Linked DNA regions of Neurospora crassa OR74A. The protein of the gene in region 1 interacts with the protein of each later gene in a biochemical or structural test. Links are inferred from orthologs where the notes say so. Each region holds a gene or a part of one and is shown on either strand. Other genes may lie near its edges.

Evidence for each region. The genes of interacting proteins can lie anywhere in the genome.
Region 2: the proteins of uvs-2 (region 1) and NCU04302 form a complex in vitro, tested with the Saccharomyces cerevisiae proteins (2 studies listed by BioGRID, with this or other methods). The link is inferred for Neurospora crassa OR74A from reciprocal best matches to the Saccharomyces cerevisiae genes RAD18 and UBC9.

Annotation. Positions count from the first base shown.
Region 1 is NC_026504.1:5,740,521-5,744,365, reverse strand, and holds uvs-2 (postreplication repair E3 ubiquitin-protein ligase rad-18), read right to left. Parts: upstream 2,383-3,845; 5' UTR 2,207-2,382; coding exon 1,660-2,206; intron 1,591-1,659; coding exon 632-1,590; 3' UTR 573-631; downstream 1-572. Other genes in the region: NCU05209 (hypothetical protein), read left to right, coding at 1-417; NCU05211 (hypothetical protein), read left to right, coding at 3,192-3,370, 3,423-3,513, 3,604-3,845. UniProt on the Saccharomyces cerevisiae protein: E3 RING-finger protein, member of the UBC2/RAD6 epistasis group. Associates to the E2 ubiquitin conjugating enzyme UBC2/RAD6 to form the UBC2-RAD18 ubiquitin ligase complex involved in postreplicative repair (PRR) of damaged DNA.
Region 2 is NC_026505.1:5,554,933-5,558,221, forward strand, and holds NCU04302 (ubiquitin-conjugating enzyme E), read left to right. Parts: upstream 1-1,223; 5' UTR 1,224-1,723; coding exon 1,724-1,758; intron 1,759-1,829; coding exon 1,830-1,990; intron 1,991-2,063; coding exon 2,064-2,087; intron 2,088-2,160; coding exon 2,161-2,414; 3' UTR 2,415-2,665; downstream 2,666-3,289. Other genes in the region: pex19 (peroxin), read right to left, coding at 1-45, 104-397. UniProt on the Saccharomyces cerevisiae protein: E2 ubiquitin-like--protein ligase mediating SUMO/Smt3 attachment to septins and PCNA. Seems to be involved in degradation of S- (CLB5) and M-phase cyclins (CLB2).

The DNA.
Region 1 (3,845 bases):
GCGCTGGGTATCTTCCTCTTCACCTGCGGCCGCCTACACGTGCGCCTGCACCGCAACCCGACCAGGTCACGGGCAATGCTGATGGACCCTGGGGTGAGATGGCTGTGGTATTTTGGTGTGATGGAGGTGGCGGGGGCTATGTTGGTTGTCAGGAGTGTGGTGCGCGGGGCCGAGTATTTGGGGGGAACGGACGGGGTGGTGGCAAGTCATGAGTGGTTTGTCTATGTGTTTGATGGGGTGCCGATGGGGGTGGTGATGGCGGGGTTTTTGGTCTTGTATCCGGAGAGGGTGGTGAGGGAGGTGAAGCGGCAGGAGGGAATTTTGAAGGGGGCGGGCATGGGAGAGGAGTTGAGAGGCGGGGTGAAGGGGGAGTCGTATCCTGGGGGCGATGTTTACGTTGGGGGTAGGTGTCACTAGGTTCCTGTGGTAAGTAGTCTCTATCACTTTTACCCCCCGTCGACATCCTTCAGCGGACCCGGCCCACAGAAATGTGGGTCTTCTGGGGGTGGGGTGGGTTTTAGTGTAGAGGTTAAGTGGGTCTAGTCCGGATGGACTACAAATGTCATACAGAACACAGGGTAAATTAGTAAAGTAGGAGAAAAGAGTGCCTGTCATAATATATCCATCGGCCTTAACATGTCTCTGGATTTGGCTTCTTCATCCCACTCAGTTGAGCATCCCCAGGTATTGGTGGCTGCTGCTGCTGTGACGTCTCCCACTGCCGTTCCTTGTCTGGAGTCCCGGGAATGACTTGTTCCCTCATGGCGGTATCCTCTGCTATAGCATCCTTTCCAGGAGCTTGCCCGTCGTGTTCTGTATCCGCGTCATCCACCTGCCCCGGTCGTGGTGGACTTGATGGCGGGACAATATCCATCCGTGTTGGCGCTGCACTGCTTTCCCCCTCTCTCGCTTGTAGTGTCGGAAGTTCAGCTGGGCCAACATCCTCACCCCCACCCCCACCCTTGGTATCCGCCTTCTCCCCATTACCATCCAAAGTCTGCCTCTTAATCCCCTGCCGGGCCTGCTTGATCAAATCCCCAAAACTCCCTCCATACCGAGTTGCCCAAGCTTTGCCATCGAACTCCTTGTCCTTGATCTGCGCTCCAGTAGCTTGCGCCCTCGCCATGAGTCCGAGTCCCTGCTGCCCCCCTCCTCCTCCTGCTGCTGTGCCGGGATTCCCTACTGTCCGTTCCCATTCGTCTAGATCGCGAAGTAACTCGGACCGCTTTTTGGGTCGCGAAGAGTCGCAGTTGGCGTTCCAAAGCGTGATCCACTCCTTGTGGCGCTTCTCCAAGAGCTGGCGAGAACCGTGGGTGGAGAGGCCGAGTTCGGAGAGTTTCTTGCGCAGGGCGGTGTCGCGCAGCATGGAGTAGGCTAGGGCGGGGAGGCGTTCGGGTGGTTTTTGGTTGGTTTGAGATGTGAGGCGGGTGTTGAAGGATGGAAAGGTCGATGGCTGTGGTGTTTGAGCGGGGATCGGTCGTCGTTTGGATGCGGCCTGGGGAGAACCGGGACAAGAGGTGTCGAGGTGGCGGTCGACTTGCTGTTCCTTCATGCGGGTGAGGCAGATGGGGCAGGCTACTAGGCCGTCGTCTGGTGGGAGGTCAGTGATGATGATGATGATAGAAGCAACCCACGAGGAGCGGGAGGAGGGAAACGAACCGGGTGGTTGGTCGACGTAATCCGGGTCGGCTGAAGGTGTGGTGTCTTGCTCTTCTTGTAGTATTGCCGCTGTCAACTCGGCGGCTCGGGCTCTTGTTGATCTGGTTGACCTCCTCGGCCTCTTGCTTTCTGGGTCCTCCTCTTTTGGCCCCTCCATTTCGGTCGCCTTTCGTTTTGATGGCGAACTGGGGCCTGCTTGGTCTGGCAGTATCGCCTGAATGGTCGGTGGTGTCCTAGCAAACTCGAGAAGGACTTTGCGGGAGTTCTTGAAGGCTTCTACGGCTTCGCGCAAAGCCCAGTTGCCTCTGAGCTTGGATTCCTGGTCGGTGGCGCGACAGAGCGGGCACTTGCTGTCGACGGACAGACATCTTCGGATGCACAAGGAGCAAAAGGTGTGATTGCAGGATGTGAGCATGGGAGAGTCGTAAAAGTCCTTGCATACGTGACAGCGGAAAGCCTGTTCGACGGGCATCAGGCATGCGAGGGGCGTGCCCAGCCAGTCGGTCGAGTCGGGGACGTTGAAGGCTTCATCGCCAAAGACGTCCATGATAATGTCGGTTGTACTGAAGGGTATCCGAGTACTTTGTTGGTGGTGATGGCTGCCTTCGTTCTACCTGGAAGCCTGGAAGTAGTATTGTAGAAGAGACGGAAGATGTGAGACGCGATGTCTGCAAGTCGGACGAGACTGGTCGCGACTTTGTCGAGGAGGAGAATTCCATTACACTGTATTTACACAAACTGGCCGAGGGTCAGCAAGAATACCGAAGAGTGACCCGGGTATCTAGCACTCGGGATCTTTTCCCTGGGAATTGCTCTTTCAGTTGGTGTTTTTGTTTCAAGTTAAACATGGCTCTCTGAACATCTGCACTGCCATTATTCAACATTTACAGCTCTTTGTGGCCAACCTCTTACTTGCAGACCTTTGATCTCTCCATGACGGTATTGATTGTGCCCACGATACGGTAATGACAGGGCCTGCACGTGAATTGGCGACGGGAAGGCGTGCAGCGGGGGTGTGTTCTGGGGCCTTCAGTTTCCAGGCACAAAAGCGCTGCAACAGTGCAGTGGAAACAGAAGCCCCACCTCTTCGCTCCCCTCAGCCCAGACTATTCCCTTTTGGGCATCAACCAAAACAAAGACTGGAGCGGATTGGGTACTAACAATTGAAACCAAGACAAGGGAATTTGCTCCGGCAACAGGAACTCCATCCCAGGTCAGGTCAGGTCAGGTCTCCGATCCCTCGCTTTTTACTTGGTTTGTTTGACTTTGACTTTCTCTTTGTTGCTTTGACTCGATCGACGCAATCCCGTCATCCCTCCGACAACCACCATTATACCACATCGCCAGCCTCGTCGCCCACCTCCCTCCCTTTCTTTGACCAACTAATCATACCAATGCTTTGAACATCTCACTTGTTGCCATTCCTTTCTTTTCCGATCATTGCTTGGGGGTTTTTTTTTTTTTTAGAGCTTTCCCCACATCCCCAAATCCGGTTTGTTGACTTTTGGCGCCAAAGTAAACAAACAGCAAAAATGGCGATGCGCAAGGCACCACGTCTGCCCGTCGGCTCGGCAGCGTGGGTTGCAGAAGAGCGCGCATCGGCGCTCAAGGTGGCAGAGGAGGAAGTCGAAGAGTTCTCGTATGCGGCGCGCAATGAGATGGACTGGCTGAACGAGCACATGGAGGACATTTTCTTGGGCGAGAACCAAATGTGCGTTGTCTTTGTTTTATTTCCCTCTCTTTGTCTCGCTGACCAGGAACAGGAACATTGCCGAAATCTTCAAAACGCCAGCACGACCACGAGGCAAGACACCGCGGACAATTCGCAAAGGGCCCAATACCGAAGTGAGAGTGGTAAGCATCCAGACAGCGTCCATCATTCTTCTGCGACGGGCGACCAAGAGTGATTGATTGATTGATTGATTTTGTTCTAACCCACAGCAGCCCTTGGCCAGCATCTTCTCAGCGACGCCCAAGGGTGTGACACCTAATCCCTTCGTCCTCGCGCCGCCCGCGAACAACTCGTCATGGACGCCCAAGATCAGGCCCGATACGCCGGAAGCCGACGTCGAAGCTGATGACGAAGCCGATGATGTCCCCAAGAATCCCACGACTCCCTCGACGCGCCGTGCGAGCCCGCGAAAATCAGCTGCCGCAAAGTCGCCAAGCCCAGTCAAGAGCGTTGC
Region 2 (3,289 bases), on another chromosome or scaffold:
GCCTAGCTCCTTGAATATGCTCTCGAACTGGGCTTGTAGCTCAGGCTGGCTCAGAGTTAGCTAGAGCCGCAGAAATTGGGATATTGCGATTGTTTGCGCCTACCGAGTTCTCGATGTCACCGAGGAGATCAGCCATGCCGGCCTGCAGCTGCTTCGCAAACTCCTCTTCGGACAGGACATCATCTTCCCCCTTGGCACCATCTGCCCCAGCGGCGTCTGGCCTTGCTGGCCCCGAAGGCTTCTTGGCTTGAAGGTCTACTGCGGCGAACTCATCGAGCATGTCATCCAGGTCATCCAGGTCATCCTCATCCGGGTCGGACACGTCATCGTCGAACTCGTCGGCCACGGTGGCCTTCCTGGGCACCTCCTCCTTTGCGCCGGCGTTATTCGAAGCCATTGTGCGGTATGAGTGTGTAAGAATGTTGTGTAAATCGCAAAGACGTCGATCGGTCGTGGATGCGCCTCGTTCCGACAGACGAAGCAGATGCTCGGGCAAAAGGTTGACCCCACGCTGAAGCACGACCTCTTTGAGAGAGGTAAAAGCGGGAAGTTGTCTGTTTGAGGTAGAAACCAAGCTAATGCAAGGCGGAGTGGTCTATCAAGAGAGTATACAAAATCTCTCTGGGATAGGCAAATCCAGAATTGTATAGCGAACCAAAACCTTCAAAGAAAGGGTGATCAGTGGAAGAAAACATGGAAGGGAGAGAAGTCAGATGGAGATTGACATCCAGAAGGGTTCAGATGACGAGGGGGTTTTCCTTTGCATGTGCAATTCGGCTCACTCCTCATGGCGCTTTCCCGCATCTCTGCTTGAACAGGGCGGTTACCCCACCATTGCCCACCGGGGTACGCTGTGTGCCGAGGGACACCACCTCCAGCTTCAGACAATATTCCTTGATCAGGTTGCTTGAGCACTTAAAGTCCATACTAACAGGCATCTCGCTGTCATCCCATCTTCTGATGCTAGTGTGACTGCGGATCAAGCTCATTTTGGAGCCTACACGCTGTCACTGAAATGGGCCATTTACTGTATGTGAAATGCCGTTGACAAGCTTCGGAGTACAAGTTAAGCAGAGGAGAGCTTCCATGCCATTCACTTCACCCACTCTCCGCCTTCCTGATTCGAGGCGACAGGAACTCCGAGCCCGGCAGGCAATAACTGAATGAGCGTGTCGCCTGCCATTCGATTTGCTGTCACTTCGTTGCAAACTGAAACTTCCCTCCAGCCTCGTTAGGATTCGAAGTCTACCACATCAGTCACAGTCGGTTCCCTTCCCAGGAAACACTTCGTTACATAGTTCCATTCGGATTGCGCATCATTCCCCGCATATACTCCAGATATTCGAACCCTCATCTTTTCTTTTTTGGCCTTACAAACCCCAAATCACCTTCACCTCTCACCTTGCGGGGCTACTACGCAGTACATACTCCACGCTGCTACATATCGCGTGGCCCATAGGATTGGATCTCTTACCTGCAGAGGACCTTCCCACACTCCACCTTCTGATCCGCGCCCATCCCCCCCGTGACCAACCCGAGCAGCTCTTCAGCCGCATCCCCACGTTTCTCGGCGCCGTCATTGCATTAGCAAGAAGCCGGCCGTCGAAGTTGAATCGTCGTCGCATTCAGTTTGTCCAAGGGATCACTCGAATCCCACGTTGATCAGCCACCGCTCAACTTTTACCGACGCCAAACCCCGTCAACGTCAACCTCGTCAACCACCATGGCGCTGTGCCAGAACCGCTTGCAAGAGGAACGGTACGCCGCAAAGCATTGCGCAACAGTGTACCTACGTCCAGCAGACTGACAATCTTATTCTCTCCCTCTAGGAAGCAGTGGCGAAAGGACCATCCCTTTGGCTTCTATGCCCGTCCCCAGAAGAACCAGCAGGGTGTGCTCGACTTGAAGATTTGGGAATGTGGTATTCCGGGCAAAGAAAAGACAATCTGGGAGGGTGGTCTGTTCAAGTTGACCGTCACGTTCCCTGATGGTATGCGCCCTGCACCGGTCGGTGTCTTTAGTCAGAAGAATACACGTGCTGACTTGACGTTTCCTGCATGCAGAATATCCCACGAAACCCCCCAAGTGTACGCCGAAAGCTAGCCCTCGTCCATCCCCCCTTGCTACGATCACATGGCTAACATGTTGGCGTCTGAGCAGGCAAATTCGTCCCCCCTCTTTTCCACCCCAATGTCTACCCATCAGGCACGGTCTGTCTCTCGATCCTCAACGAAGAAGAGGCATGGAAGCCGGCCATCACGATGAAGCAGATCCTGCTCGGCATCCAGGACTTGCTCAATGACCCCAATCCCGAGTCCCCAGCCCAGGCTGAGGCGTACAATCTCTTCAAGAAAGATCGTCAGGAATATGAACGTCGGATCAAGCGCGTCGTGCGGGAGAATGCCGCCCCATAGATTGGGAACCCACGAATGTGAGGGTGCTTGGTGAAAAAGAGAGAGCAGTTCTGTTTTGCTGGACCTGGGACACGGAGTTTAGGGATACCAATTCATTGTTTGTGGCGGCATTTGGAGGGAGTTCATTCATTGATAGCGATCCTGCGCACGATTCAATTTTCGGGCTGCTCTATATACTCATGATCGAGGAACAAGAGTCTAAGAAAAATAAAAAAAATTACCGACGCTGCGCCCGATGCATCAGTCCGTTTCCCCCAACTTTTGTGCTCAATACTTGCTGTCTCGGACCTAGATCTCCCTTCTACCAAACTCACGGTCGAGTTCGGCCGGGGAGTAGTGGAATCAGTGGGATGAACCCTCAAGAGTCATCTTCAATCGCAGATGATTCGACCAAGGCGGGAGAGGTATGCGTTTCAAGAAAAGATAGCAAAAAGTTATTTCACGGGAAGTTCACGTCCGGAAAACCTAGAATATCGGGCACCCAGTTTACAGAGTCTCAGTCAGATACTCCGTACAGGATTTATCACTAGCTTTATCTGTGTCTTCAGTTTGTCAAGAAGTTTTTAACCTCACGGCAAGGTTGCAAGCCACGCTCCGCTTGCGGAGAAACCTGGGGTACCCGTCGTCCCCCCCCCCCCCCCCCGCCCCCCCCCTTCTCCCCACTTAAGGTTTGTAAGGGAGTTGGACTTTATGCCGTTGACACAATGACGTTGGAGAGCTGGAAGGACTTGTCAGCCTGTGCAGCTGGCACAAAATCTGCCGGCACACTGTGATGAAAATATTCACACTACTGCTCGTTTCTCTCCACTGTGTGGCCAGCTAACATGCTTGGCTCGGCGGCTGATGATGGCTTCCAAAAGGTACACGGCTTTCCG